Elephas maximus indicus: one gene and its partner. The protein of the gene in region 1 interacts with the protein of each later gene in a biochemical or structural test. Links are inferred from orthologs where the notes say so. Each region holds a gene or a part of one and is shown on either strand. Other genes may lie near its edges.

The links.
Region 2: the proteins of DLAT (region 1) and PDK2 form a complex in vitro, tested with the Homo sapiens proteins (2 studies listed by BioGRID). The link is inferred for Elephas maximus indicus from reciprocal best matches to the Homo sapiens genes DLAT and PDK2.

Annotation. Positions count from the first base shown.
Region 1 is NC_064825.1:6,860,629-6,868,360, reverse strand, and holds the start of DLAT (dihydrolipoyllysine-residue acetyltransferase component of pyruvate dehydrogenase complex, mitochondrial), read left to right. Parts: upstream 1-4,715; 5' UTR 4,716-4,780; coding exon 4,781-5,059; intron 5,060-5,493; coding exon 5,494-5,595; intron 5,596-5,892; coding exon 5,893-6,017; intron 6,018-6,177; coding exon 6,178-6,331; intron 6,332-7,732.
Region 2 is NC_064837.1:43,535,248-43,542,746, forward strand, and holds the start of PDK2 (pyruvate dehydrogenase kinase, isozyme 2), read right to left. Parts: upstream 3,017-7,499; 5' UTR 2,996-3,016; coding exon 2,692-2,995; intron 587-2,691; coding exon 445-586; intron 1-444. UniProt on the Homo sapiens protein: Kinase that plays a key role in the regulation of glucose and fatty acid metabolism and homeostasis via phosphorylation of the pyruvate dehydrogenase subunits PDHA1 and PDHA2.

The DNA of each region.
Region 1 (7,732 bases):
GTACTTAAAATCCCTGTCCAAATGTAGACTGTGGGTCCTTCTGGAGTTCCTTGTCCATGGCAACACAGTGTTTTGTTTTACTCTGAGGACAACAAACCGAAGGCCTTAACCAGTGGGGATGGACAATCCCGCCTGTTTAGGGGCATGGCTGCTATAACCTGGAATCTAAGAATTGGATGCTTCACTCCTGTGTGTTACAGTATTATTTTAATTGGCCTCAGTGGTTGCAGCAATCAGAGTCCCAGCATTTGTACTCACAGACAAGGCAAAGGTACCAGCTTTTCTGCTTCCTTGCAGCTATTGCAAACCAAGAATAACTCATCATGTGGTACCAAAGATGAAGGCCCCACCCTTCATTAATCTTTTGGACTGGACATGGTTGTTGCTGAATTGTTGATTGGATGGGAAAAGGGCTGCCCATGTTGTGCTATACTATTCTCAAAACCACAATTAAGACCTTAGGCTGACTCTTGTGTCTTAACTTGTTCTGCAGTTTGTCCTTTAGCCCAAATGGCATATTTCATGTACTGCTAATTTTCTCTGGGGACTCTTAACTTTAGAGCCATTTTTTTTTCCCTCCAGCTGATGAACTTTGTGTTTGAAAGGAATAAGGAGTGAAAAGCTCCTTAAAAATCCAGGCGGGTATGGAAAGGTGCTGCTACCACATCTTCTTGACTTTCTTTCTCTCGTGACTTTCTTTACCCATCAGGCTCATGGCATCTCCTTTGCAGTCAAAAGGAGACAGACCATTGATTTTATGTTTCTTTGTGATTTATGAGTATTGAGCATGAATTACTGGTATGCCCCTCCTCATCTCAAGACCAGTAGTTATTTTCTATTATATATTTAGTATAGACTGAGCCTTTAGGGCACTATAGAAACCACGGGGCATGGAGCATGAGTTGTGAATGGCAGGGTTGATTCTGGGTGAAAAAAAACAGAATCCTTTTTCATATGCAACATTTTCAAGTGTAGAAACTAAAGGAGTGAAACTTCCAGCAATTACTTAGTAACTTAGGTTTTCTCATTCACTCACTAAGTATCATCAACCAATTAACCATTATTACATATGGTATTCCCAAAAGCATTCTGCCTCTGGCCACCAATGTACACTGCCAACCGGAAGAGTCAGACAGATCAGTTCTGGGTTCTTGACCTGTCTGTCTCTAGTTCATTTCCCCCTTTCAGCCATTTCAACAGACTACTCTTGGAGCTCCGAGATGACCTCTTGTTGTTTTATATAGATGTGTCTTTTTAAATAGCTCATGTTTGGAGAATTCTTTTGTACTCATTTGCTTTTTGTCTGAGAACCATGTCTGTTTTTATAACTTGCGTGTGAGTTCTGTATATTCTCCCATTCTGTATACTGTATCCATTTTTTAGGGAACCCAGTAGCTTTTATACAGGCTCTTCTTACCACCCCTTGTAGTGTCAGAACAAGCTTTATTTTATTACCATGTACTGATGACAACTACTTCCTGTTCTAATTCTACCTGCCAATTTTAGTTGTGGAGGCAATGTTATGTAATCCATGTGATTGCTCCTTCAGGAGACAGAAAGAGCTCAAAAGACATCTTAGTTTCTTTCGTTGTTGTTTACCTGATATTCTTGCTATTGAAGACTTTCTCATCAGAAATTGACTGGGAAAGTAAGTCAAAAGCAAGAATAATTCATTGTGAAAGAAAACAGTACCTTCTCAGTTTATTTTACCCAGGAAGTCTGGAGAAAAAGTCCTCCTGTCACAAATTTCCTTATTGTATGTGTTTTAGTGTTTTGCTATACGACAGCATGAGGATTATCAGACCAAAATTTGTTATTGTAATTCCAGTACAATTTATCTTGAATGTCTCCTAGATTGGTTTTTACTTGCCAGTCTTCTTTGAGCAAACAGTCTTACTATTTGGAATTTGACTTTTAAGAGAAAATTAAATCAGAGGTAATTTCAGGGTTCCTCTACTTTGTTTTACATTGTGTTATCTCTATGTCCTTTGGAAAAGGAGCTGCGTGGGCTCAGCGCCTCCGTCGAAAAGTAAAGCTGAGTTCAGGGGAAGAGGTGAGACATTTTTCCCTCTAGCTGGTTTAGCATAGGTAGTGACTAAGCATCCCTAGTGTGTGATCTTTCATGTAAAATGTGTTGGTGATCCTCCTTCCAGTTTCTAAAGGGAGAGAAGCCTTCTGAGGAGGCATGCTCATTACTTATTCTGTTGTAATCGTCTATTTGCATGTACTATGTGGCTGCACTCTAAGTCCTTGACTTATGCATTGTATTGCCCCCCCCCCCAAGAGGTATTTTGTAGAATAGTCTGTCCTGATACTGCTGGCATTCTCTTTCCTTGGGAAAATTAAGGAACCAGAATGTTTAGATTTATAAAATAATCTCTAAGTCACTTTAAATTAAAAAATAAGTGACCCTCAAATATAAACTAGTAAAGAACTCAATTCTTTAAAAAGTCTTCTTTAAACCTGATGACTGTTCTCTTGCTCAGTGGAACACTTTACAGTTTGTGCCTAAAGAATCCGTGTTAAGTTCACTTGATGATGGCAATTCTACTTACTTACCAACTTTACAGCTCTTTTTGACCAGGATGGATGTAAATTAGGGAAACTATCTCCATGCAGTACATCTAAACTAAGAGGACTCTACCAAAAAGCACTTAGGTCATCATTGTATTTATTTTCATTTTTTCCATAAAACGAGCATTATTATTGCACACTCCTCCTATGTCTGAATTTATGTAAAAGGTATAGCTTGCTTAAAATACATATATATGTAAAGTTATATTTTCTTAGAAACATGGATGTTTGCAACCATTGCTTTCAAAGAGATTATTTCTGTGTATTCTCCGTTTTATGGTATGTTTTCATAAAGATTGTGTTATATCAGAGGTTTCTGATTATCAAAGTGATAACCAGTTTTAACTGCCTGTATGTACCAGAGATTTGTGTACTAATTTAAAAAAACAAACTATGAAAAAAATGGAGTTTGCAAACTATTAATCTTTATCTTCACTTGCATTTATTGATGAAGATTAATCAATAAACCATTTACATTTAATGAAAGTAAATCTGAAGTGATCTCCATGGTAGTATGTTTACTCTCTACTTGGAGAGTGAAGATAAGGATTACTTTATTGCCACAGATAATTTGCTACTGGTATTTCCATGTAAGCACAAAATAGGTTATTCTATCAAAGAGAATTCACTGATTTAGTGCTTCGTTTGGAATTATGTGCAAACAAATGAGAACCTGAGGGTGTAAACTGTATGACAAGTCTCTAATGCAAAAGCAAGAAGCATTCATAAAAGTCTCTTTCAGAAATGTGTATTTAAAAGAAAAAGAATGCCCAAATCAGTTTGAAAGCTGAACACCCAAAACTTAAGCGGGCTTCATTTATCACTTCAAATGAAATGTTCTAGATATATAAATCTTTAGCACTGGGGAAACCCTGGTGACCTAGTGTTTAAGAGCTACAGCTGCTGCTAACCAAAAGGTCAGCAGTTTGAATCCACCAGGCGCTCCTTGGAAACTATGAGGCAGTTCTACTTTGTCCTATAGGGTTGCTATGAGTTGGAACTGACTGAAGGCAACAAGTTTGGTTTTCGGTTTGTAGCCCTGAGAGCCTTCATTTGACTTCCAATTTCCTGTTTTTAATTATTAATTATACCAACTATCATGAAAATGGTGAAGGACCAGACAATGTGTAGTTTTGTTACACATAACGTCGCCATGAGTCAAAGCCGACACTGGACAGCAACTAACATTACTAAGCTCTGGTGACATATTGAAGAACAGTACACAGACAAGATCCCTGCCCTCATCAGCTTATAGTTTAGTTTTGGTATGAAGTATTTAAAACATAAAACTTTTTGCTGTCTAAACGGATTCTATGGTAAATTTTGAGTTAAAGCAAATCTGTTTCATAAACCTTTATCTTCATACAGAGTATATGCTTAATCCCCCTGAAGTACACCTGAATATGGGATTGTGTCTTCCACTTGGCTGCGGTTCGCACCATCTGGCTGAAAAATCAGTTCATTCGGTGGGTTTCTGTTTGGGATTAAATCTTTAAATCTTTGCAATAGGGTCGCTATAAGCCTGAATCGACCCGACTGCAATGGGTTTGATTTGGGGTAAGCCAGTAAGCCGTAATATATATTTATATTATAATTATATAGTAAGCCTGCGCGGGGCAGGGCCCCAAGCCCGGTCACCGTTGGGCACCGTCGGATCAGGAGGGTGCAGGACACTCGCCTGGGCCATGCTGAGCGCCCTTCTTTACAGAAGCGCCCCAAGACCCCGCCCGTGGGCCTGAGGCTCGCGATGCAGGGCCCTTCCACAACACCGGCCCGCGCGGCTCGGCCGCGCCTCTCAGGCCACTGCGCCCCACACCTTGCGAGGCCTGCCCGGTGCGCCTCTCCAGGCCCCTCCCTTCTGACTGGGCCCTTCGCACCTCCTAGGCGCCGTCCTAGCCTTTGGAATGCCTTTCCTCCGACGCCCTGCCTCCCACCTCCCTCCACCTCCTACTTTTTTCCAGGCTTCGGCTGCGTTGGCTCAGCGGGAACGACCCGCGCCTGCGGCTCCGAAGCAGCCCCCGCGCCCGCCCGAAGGACGCGCAGGCCGCCCGCCCGCCCCTAGCCTGGGGAGGGGCGCGGGGGAATCCTCGGGGCCGTTTACGACAACGTGCGGCTGCGCGGCGCGGCTGACGGCAGCGTCGGGTTGCTCTTGGAGAGGTCACTCGGAAGAGGGCGTTGGGTTTGGGGAGTGGGGGTCTGTGGCGCTATGTGGCGCGTCTGTGCCCAGCGGGCTCAGAGTGCAGCCCCGAGGGCGGGTTTCGGGGCTCGGTGCGCAACGTTAAGGGAGAGACCTGGACCTCTGTGCGCGGCCCCGCTTTCTAGCCCGGCTCCGGCGCTTTGCAACGGCACGACCACCGGCTATGGCGGGGTCCGGGCACTCTGCAGCTTCAGCCCCAGCTCTTGGCCCACACCGCGGAACCGCTTTCTGCTGCAGCTTTTGGGGTCACGCGGCCGCCGTTGTCATAGTCTCCCCCCTCATCAGAAGGTGAGCCCCCGACTCGTCCTTCGTGGACCCCGTTGTTCTTCAGGGCAGACTTGGCCTCGAAACCTCCCTCAGGCCTCAGTGATCCTCTCCCCGCCTTGCACTATCTGTCATTGCCCGCCTGCTAACCCAGTTTTGCTGTTGAACTTCCCTCTCCTGATCTGTCCCATTGAGTGAAGAGCCCCAAGCCCGGGGCTTTATGCGAAAAGCCTGCTGAGGCGTTCTCTGTCAGACCCACAAAACTGTGGAGCAGGAAGCCTGTCACTGGAGAGCATGAGCTTCTGGCAGCAGGAACTGTCATTGTATCTTCAGTGCCAGCGTGTAGTGGGACTTAGTAAACTTCGCATTAGATGAGATCGGATTGAATGAAACCTTACACCAGACTGAGAATTAGGTCACCCTTTTTAAGGTTGGCGTTTCTCCTTTTTCTCCTCTAGGTTCCATTGCCTTCCCTTTCCCCCACAATGCAGGCAGGCACCATAGCCCGTTGGGAAAAAAAGGAAGGGGAAAAAATCAATGAGGGTGAACTAATTGCAGAGGTAAGTTGTCGAAGGGACTGCCTAAGCTAAACTGAGCGTTAGGTTTCTGGGTGAGTAGTTACCTGCTTTGCTTAAGACACTATTTTGGTATTTTTTCAGCTTGGAATTAGAGAAGATTTATTAGATAAGTTGTCAGCAGCTGTCCAAACTGATTTTTAGCTAACATTTCTTTTAATGATTCCTTCTTTGAGATCTGTGATAGAGGCTTTGTCACACTGTTGAACTGTGTAATTTCAGACATAAGCTAATAAACTTCATTCTGGCTGCACAAACTGACACTGCTTTTGGTGTTAAAAGGTCGAAACTGACAAAGCCACGGTTGGTTTTGAGAGCCTGGAGGAGTGTTACATGGCAAAGATACTTGTTGCCGAAGGTACCAGAGATGTTCCAGTTGGAGCAATCATCTGTATTACAGTTGAAAAGTGAGTGGTACCCTGAGTATTGTGGAACTTTAGTGCAGAGTGGAGCATTTTAACCCAGAATCGAGAAATTAGGAGTTAAAAAGCTTCTCAAGACCACTTCTCTGGGAGCTGAATCTGCTTTATAACCCCCTTATATTTATGCCTTCTTTCTCTTCCTTAGACCTGAGGATATTGAGGCCTTTACAAATTATACTTTGGATTCCTCGGCAGCACCTACCCCACAAGCAGCCCCAGCACCAAGCCCTGCTGCTGCTGCTTCACCACCTGCATCTTCTGCTCAGCCTCCTGGTAGCTCATATCCCACTCACATGCAGGTGAGGCTCAGCCTCTGAGTGTTTGCTCTAGAGAATTTAGTACTTATTCATCGTTTTTCGTAGATTGCTGCCACATGCTGGAAAGTGGTATTAAACGTGGCTGACTCTTGTCATTTGGGAATAAATAGAGATTTAAGCATGCAAACAACTTGTATTGATCGTTGTTATGTCCAGGTGTGTGAACTTGGACAGCTCCTTTAACCCTTCTGAGCCTCTCTGTAGTGTAGAGAATAATGTTTGAACTTCTTATTCAAGAGCATTAAGTTACAGATCTTGAGGATGATTTGTACTTGTCTCTATTTCCTGTATAAATAGTTTTATAGTGGGTCTCCAGTGCTGTCCGTTGAAAGTCCCCAGTTGGTGTTTTCCTTTGGCATGTGGTGATCTGTTTTCTAAGAGCGGATGAAGTAATCTTGTAGTGTTAATAAACCAGAAACCTGACAATAAAGAAATGTTAGAATAAATATATAATAGCATTGCAATAAAGCTGAAGACAATAAGTGGAATCACTGTTGCATCTATTAACTAAATCAGTTTCTTAGATATTAGAGTTATTCCTTGTGTATTTGTGTGTTTTAGAGATTGGAAATGGAAAAAAAAAAAAGCCACTTTTTTTTTTTAAAGGATTAAGGCTAAAGGTAAAGAACTTTACCTTTGCTTAGTTTATTTATAGGAATTTCTGTGTAAGAACTATTTTTCCCTTTGCACATAATGGTCTACTCCCTGGCCTGTTGATAACAATCATTTTTGATGAAGTTTTGCGTGGTGTTTAGTCCACATGCTTACTTCATCCTGTTCAGCGGATTCTGTCTCACAACGTAAGATCTCGTTCAGTCCTCACCATTATGTGTCTATGGCTTTGTATGAAAGTGCTAGAATTGTGCCTTAATTACCCTTTCAGGTTCTCAATAGAGATTTTTGGGTTAACTAATTTTAAGAAGCAGATAAAGAACAAGAAAAGCACTTAAAAAAATTTTTTTTTAATTAGCATTAAAAGGCTTTACTTTTTTCCTTATCTGAGGCATCATCGATTGAAATGATTTTTCACTCAGCATAGTCCTGTTGCTAATTAGATACGAAAGACTAAGAAGACAGCAAGTGAACCCACAGAAACTGAAAAAGCATCCAAATTTAGTGGACACACAAACCATATAAATAGCAAAGCAATTTTTTATTTAGATCAGCCCATCTGATGTTTGGATTTTGTTGGGGTGGAAGTGACTATTGTGATAATAGTTCTGAATGTTAGTTTTTTTATCTTGGAAAGATATCTGGGAAGTTGAGAATTTCCTGTGAGTGAAAAGACAGATGCTAGGTACAGAGCACAGTAAAATTTTAACAGCATGGTCTGTGCTAAGATCATTGTGTGAAACTGAAAAATTTCAACTTAAGTGTGACAAA
Region 2 (7,499 bases), on another chromosome or scaffold:
TTCTCTGTTTTCCAAAAAGTAAACCCAGATAAATATTCAACAAAGGCAAAGCCTAACATAGCACATGCTGGGCTTCCAGGGCCAGGGCTGTGGCTAATGCTGACATCAGTCTGATTTGGAATTTTAGCTGTGAAAACCACGAGGTCCCAGGACTTGGGCCAACTATGATTTACCCAAACTACGGATCCTGGGTTTCTGGAGAAAGGAGGATGGTGAATATAAGGCTGTCCCGTAGACACTGGAGGGTAGGAGCTGGATCTTAGTCCCTGCTCTGGCCTAGGACTCCCACATGACCTTGGGCAATTCCCTGGCCCCCTGAGCCCCTGTGCCTCTGCTCTGCCCCCACCCCATCAAGGCTGCTGGGAGCATGGAGCCTCCATCCCTGAGCCCAGGGACACCTGGCAATGGAGTGGGAGGGTGCAGGGCCCTGGCCAGGGGTCTCACCAGCTCTGGACCAGCTGCACCGAGGGTGTGCTCAGCACCCGGTCAGGAAGCAAGTTGATCTCCTTCATGATGTTAGCCAGGCGCACCGGCAGCTCCTGCCTGAGGAAGGTAAAAGAGGTCTTCTCACAGGCATTGCTGGACCCTGGGGGAAGGAGAGAGGGGTGAGCCCAAGAACTTCAAACTAGAAGAGCCAGAGGACAGGTCAGTCAGGCTCTTCGTGTACTGAGGGCTCAGAGAGGAAGCAGCCTGACCAAGAGCACAGAGCAACACAGGTCTCCTCCCCTGCATGCTCAAACCTCCATACACCATGCCTAACCTTCCAGGGGGCTGCATCCTCTCCCCACCTCCAGGTGAACCTTTAACCATGGGGGACAGGGCCACCCATCCCTGGGCCCACTTGGAGCGGCCTCTGGCCTAAGTCACCTCAGTCTTCTCTTTTCTTCTGGACATTCACTTTGGGGGATTGATCCAGGTGGGCAGAGCAGTCTGGGAAATCTATCCCTACCCAGGGTGGGGGACTAAACCGGGACCACTGCGGTTGCAGGGTCCCAGTGTGGTCTCTTCCAGGCTGCTCCTGATGCCCACTGCAGAGTGGCACCCTGCATTAATGCCTGCCTGTAAGGCAAACAGGGCCCAAGGACAGCAGCCCCAAACCGAGGCCTGTCTTTAAGAAGAGGGCTTGGAAGTCTGAATAAGGCCATGGCCTAGAGTCAGGAGACCTGGGTTCTAGTCCAGGCTCTCCTTCCAACTCTGTCACTCAGAGTGTGTCACCATCTTTCTGAAGGTCTGTTTCTCCCACTATACTACGAACAGACTGAACTCTACTGTGGGCCCCTCCCAGCAGCAACATTTTCTAATTGGGGCCCAGTCTGGGCTGGACAGTTGCTGGGGCTAGTGGTGGGCCCAAGAAGCTTTCCCATACTGGGGAAGCTCAAGATTCAAAAGCCCAGGAGGTGGGCAAACAAGTCTGGGGCAACAGGTGCCCTTGTGTTCTGACTGCCCCCTCCCCGCCCCTTCCTGTCAGTGACGCAGCTGTAACCTGAGCCAGGCACTATCTTCTCAACTCTTCAGAGACCTGGGCCAAGAGAAGCCAAAACCCATTGCTACTGAATAGATTTTAACTCACAGGGACTCTGTAGGACAGAGCAGAACTGCCCCATAGGGTTTCCAAGACTGTAAATCTTTACAGAAGACTGCCACATCTTTCTCCCCGGAGTACCTCATAGGTTCGAACTGCTGACCTTTAAGTTAGCAGACAAGCACTTTAACCACAGCACCCCCAGGGCTCCTTCAGAGACCTGGGCACCCCCTCCCAACCTCCAGCTGGCACCATGGAAATACTGTGTGGACAGACAGAGCCTACACAATGCCTGCTTCAACTGGCAGGTTGGTACCGCCTTGCTCCTGCCCCACAGCTACCTCCAGATGCTGGTGGTGGGTGATTCTGGCCCAAGAATCCAGAAGCAGCCAAGGGTGGGTACAAGCGACCTGACTTCACCTTATGGTGCTAGGGCCCTGCCAAGCTAGGGACAGGGTGCCAGGCTGGGGCAGATTTGATCTTCAAGTGTCCTTGCCCACCAGGATGGTTGGGAGCCACATCCTTCATCCTTCATTGGGTTTACTGGTCAGGAGCTCCCTCTCTGGTTGGCATCTTCTTCTGAGAGAGCCCCCTTCTCCAACTGCTCCCTGCTTTTCTCTCAGTCTATCCAGGAATGTCTAACCTTTCCATGCCCAGCCCAGGTCTCCTCCTTCCAGATGGCTACCCCTCCCCAACTCTTCCTTGTTACTTCCACTAGCACCCCCCATTTCCTCTCTATCCCCCATTCTTAGAGTCATCATAATGCCACATTAACCCTTTAGTGCTAGAATGTCACCTTACTCCCTTCCTACCCTAATGGCCCCCCCTCCCCCGTCCCTTACTCCCCAAGACCCCTCACAAAGCCCAGGAAGAAACCTTGGACCCATCGTTCTCAGTGCCCTCCCCCCTCCCCCTTCCCATTAGTAGTTCAGTTCACAGTCTCTTTTCAGCTGGGGCGCCCCTAACCCTTTCATGCCTCGGTCTTCCCTTTCCTCCCCGTTAACCTTTTCCTGCCTGTACCCTTCCTAGCAACCCTCCTCCGTCACTCAGGGCCTCTCTTCTCCTCCTCGTTAATCCTTCATTGTCTAGACCCCTCCAATCACCCCCAAATCATCCCCCGGCTGCCCCTCTCGGTGCCCCGGTGCCAGCTGCCTCCCGCCTCTCCGTACCGAAGTCCAGAAACTGCTTCATGGACAGCGGGGATGGGGAGAACTTGCTGAAGTGCTCAATGTACTTGGGCGCCCCTGCCAGGGAGGCATTCTTCAGCAGCGCCCGGACCCAGCGCATGGCGGCGGCCGCGGCTCGGGTTCCGACTCTGTCACAGCACGCGTAGCTGTCGCGCTCGGCTCGGCCCAGCCCGGTCCAGCCAGCCTCAGCAACCCGGTTCGGCCGCCAGCTTCCCCTGGCCCGGGGGGGGCCTCTGAACCCCAGCCAATCGGCTCGTTGTGGCGCCCCGACGTCGCCAATGGCCATGTGCAAACAACTACGGGAGAACCACTAACATTCCGCTCCGGCACGTGGCTTCCCTCTGGGCCCGCCTGCTTAACCCCGTCCCAGCCCGCGGCGGCCTGTTGTTTTCGGAGGGCGGCGCGGCCAGTCCGCCTCTGATCTTTAACTCCTCCCTTTCCTTCTAGGGTCGGAGGCTGGGTTAACTCCTTTCTTCCCAGAGGTCCTTCGAGCCTTTTAATTTCTTTCCCCTCCAATTTCCTCCCTTTCCCTTGCTCCCTCCCCAAATCTCCACCAATTGTCGGCTCATTTTAACCCTTTCCTTCTCTGAATTGTCCAGGTAGCTTCCAACTAAACTTTCTTCGCAAAGGTGCTTGTTTCACCTGTCCTGATCTCTCCCTACTTTCCCTGAGGGGGTCTTGTGGGTCCCTAGTCTCTCCCCAACCCTCCAGCAATCAGTCTTCTTGGACAGTTTCCATGACGGTGACCCAGACGATGATTATTTGCAAAATTCTGAACCGGGATGCGAGCCTACATTAATCCCTCATATAGACATACGGCCCTCCCACTTCCACAAAGATCCAAGCGCCTCCTCCAGTTGAAAAACACGGAGTCAAAGCCCTAACAGCTAGCGTCTACGTGTGCCGTTTTCAAAACATTTTCATTATTATCTAGCTCATTTGACCGAGCAGGAATCTTTGGACATCTAGCTGAGAAAGCGACTCTCTTCGCACTGGGATTCCTTAAAAAGAGGTACCGGGAGATGATTCGTGCTGGGGCCGAAGGGGAAGCCTGTGCTGGTCCCGGCCTCCCTGGGTCCTCCTTTCCCAGCAGCCCCGCCTCTCTGTAAGGAACATACAGGGCCCTCTTGAGGTCCAACGTGGTATATCCTGTACTGGGCCAAGGGGTCAACACTTTGATAGCATCTTTCCTGGGTTCAGTCTTCTGCCCGCACTTACCAAATGCCAAAGGCTGAAGGTTCGAGTCCACCTGAAGGTGCCTCGGAAGAAAGGCCTGGCGATTTACTGCCCCAAAATTAGCCCTTGAAATCCTATGGAGCATAGTTCTACTCTGACATTCATGGGGTCGCCATGATTAGGACTCGACCCCACAGCAATTGGTTTTTAATGTGTGCTAGGCTTTTTCCTGGGAACAGGAAACACAGGCAGGATTAGAACATGGTCTTTCTCCTCAAGCGCTCAGTTTGGGAGATACCTGCTGTTGCGGATTGAATTGTGTCTCCTAAAAATAAAAAGAAACGTGTTGTAAATTCTAACCTCTATGCCTGTGGTTATAATCTCATTTGGCAATGGGTTGTCTTTGTTATGTTAATAGGATAGGTTAGTCTAAAATCATTCTCTTTTGAAATATAAAAGAGATTAAAAGCAAGCTAGCAGAGACTGGGGAAGAGAGATCCCAGGCCACATGAAGATTGCCCAGGAGCTGAAGCTCAGAAGAGACAAGGACCTGCCTCCAGAGCCAACAGAGAAAGAAAACCTTCCCCTAGATCCAACATGCTGAATTCAGACTTCTAGCCTCCTAAACGGTGAGAAAATAAATTTGTTTGTTAAAGCCATCCACTTGTGGTATTTCCATTATAGAAGCATCAGATAACTAAGACAGCTGCATAAGTAAGTAAGTAGGTACAACAGAGTATGGTGAGAGCTAACACAGAGTTGTATGCACAAGGCTTCACAATGGAAGACACTCTTAGCTGAATGGATAATAACTTATGAGCCAGGCACTGTTTGCATACATTATCTCATTTAATTCTCAAGACAGTGCTATTGTACTGTTATTATCCCCATTTTATAGATGCGGAGACTGAGGCTCAGGCTTCATTCAGAAGTGACTGTAAAGAACAGGACTTGTGGGAAACAGTTTGGTGGTTCCTCAAAAAGTTAAACATAGAATTGCCATATGATCCAATGATCCCAACTGTGATCTTTAAGGTGGTGTGTCAGTTTGGCTGGGCCATGATTCTCAGTGGTTTGGCAGTTATGATGTAGTTTGGCAGTTGTATAATGATGTATAATCACCTCCATGATGAAATCTTATGTAGTGTGATCTCTTCATGGTGGGATCTACTGTGAGTAGCCAATCAGTTGAAAGGGAGTTTCCTTGGGGCTGTGGCCTGCATCCAATATAGATGGACTTTCTGGCAAGGCTCTTAGGCTTTTGCTCGCTCTGGATCCTGCAGCTGGCTCCTGTTCACCTGACATCCGGTTCTTCGGACTTGAGCTAGCAGCTTGCCTGCCGATCTTGGGGTTCGTCAGCTTCTGTGGTTTCGATCTTGGGTTCACCAGCCCCTATAGCTATGTGAGTCAGGAGAAACCTCTAGCCTGACCCATGGACTTGGGATTTCCAGCCTCTCCAACTTCATGAGCCACTTACTTGATATAAAGCCCTCTCTCTATCTATGTACAGACAGATGCTTCACTGGTTTTGCTTCTCTAGAGAGCCCAGCATAAGACGCTGAGAGTGGTTCTAGAGAAACAAAATTGTAAGGATGAGTTTTCTAAATTGATTCTCAAGTCTGGTTAGTCTTAAAGACATTGATGACCCTGCTTCCGGTGGTAAAGAGGGCACTGCTAATCCATGGCGTAAGGTGGCAATAGAAATAGGCAAAATATCACCACCAATAGATCACATATTGGTGAGAGGTGAGGCTCAGGGTCATCACATGCTTGTACCTCTCTACAATTTTGTCATAATGAGAAGTATAAGGAAGCTCGTTGGTTGGTCCTACTTTCTCTAGACAAAGTAGTAAAAGAAAGGGATGAGCTCAGGGGCTCAGAGTCGAAGCTCAAGCGCTGCATAAACGACCTCAAAGTTTCCACTTGTGTCTTGAAAGAAAACTTTATTTCCTGTAGGATAGAGCTGATATTGCCGAAAACTAAGCCCAGAATTTTATTGTAAAAGTGGCTTAATTACAACACCAACTGAATTCCCAACCTCAAGTGATGTCTGAAGTTAAGGTGAGGGCATTGATTGGTCAGAAATGGGATGCTGAAAGTTGGGATGGGGACATATGGGCAGATAATCAGGAAGCTGGGGACCCTGAGCCCCTAAATTTGGTTGAATCACTCCTGCTAACAGAACTAGCCCTCCCACTCCCATTTGAAGCAATTACTCCATCTTTATCCGATAAGCCACCTTCTCTGGTAAAACCATTAACCTCTCCACCGCCATTTGTTGAGATTCACCCAGCTACATCGGAAGAGACTTTGTCTGAGTCATTGCCTGGGGTGTTGCCTGAGGCAGATGCCTTACAAGACAATGCTGAATGTTCCCAAAACATATCCCCACCATCCATTTTGGCTTCTAGGCTAAATTCCCAGGGAACCCCAAAAGGTGAAGTACAAAGTGTGACCCAGGAGGAGGTACGCAACACTCCAAAAAAACTGCTTGACTTTTCTAATGGGTACAAACAGAAACCTAGGGAATATGAGTGGGAATGGCTATTAAGGGTGTGGGATAATGGTGCAAGGAAGATAAGGATGGATCAGCCTGAATTTACTGATATGGGCCCACTAAGTACAGATACTTCATTAAATGTTTCAACTCAAGAGGTTAGGAAAGGATCTAATAGTTTATTTGGTTGCGTTACTGAAGCGTGGATTATGCTGTGGCCTACACTAAATCAAGCTGAAGTACCAAACCTGCCTTGGCATACTATAGAAGAAGGAATCCACAGGATTAGGAAAATTGGCATGCTAGAGTGGATTTATCAGGTTAGACCCACAGACCCACACATGGAGTGCACAGAGGATACATCTTTTACCACAATGGTGAGGAACAAATTTGTGAAGGGGAGCCCCAGCATCCTCAAAGACTGCTGTGATTGCTATTTTATGTAAGTCAGATTTGACAGTGGGAATTGCCCTAGCTGAGTTAAAACACCTAACTACAATGGGGCTGATTAGACCTTGTGGTGGTTGGGGCCAAGTGGTGTCGCTCAATCAACAAAGACAAGGTTGGCATGGTTACCGTAATGGACCATGGAGCCAAAGCAGTAATCAGAATAGCCTGGCTCCTATGGACTTCTGGCGTGGGCTACTTGGTCATGGTGTCCCTAAGTGTGAAATAGGTAGGAAATCTTCGAAATATTTACTTGATCCGTACAAACAAATGAATTCTAGGTCAAGCGAACAGCAGTCTAATTCGAATTGTCAGAATAGAGAGTCACGGCTCTTTAATCAATTCCCAGACTTGAGCAAGTTTGAAGACCCAAAACCCCTTAAATGAAGGGGGGGCCAGGTTCCCTTGAGGAAGGACCCCACTACACTGCTAAAAATTTGTACTGTTAATCTTTCTTCCAGCCTTTTCCAAAGGGATCTATGGCCTTTTACGAGAATTACTGTTCGTTGGGGAAAAGGAAATAGACTTTTCAGGGATTACTGGATACTAGCTCTCAACGGACACTAATACCAGGAGACTCAGTATGTCACTGGGCCCACCAGTCAGAGTGGGGGTATATGGTTGTTGTTGTTGTTAGGGGCTGTCGAGTCGATTCTGACTCATAGTGACC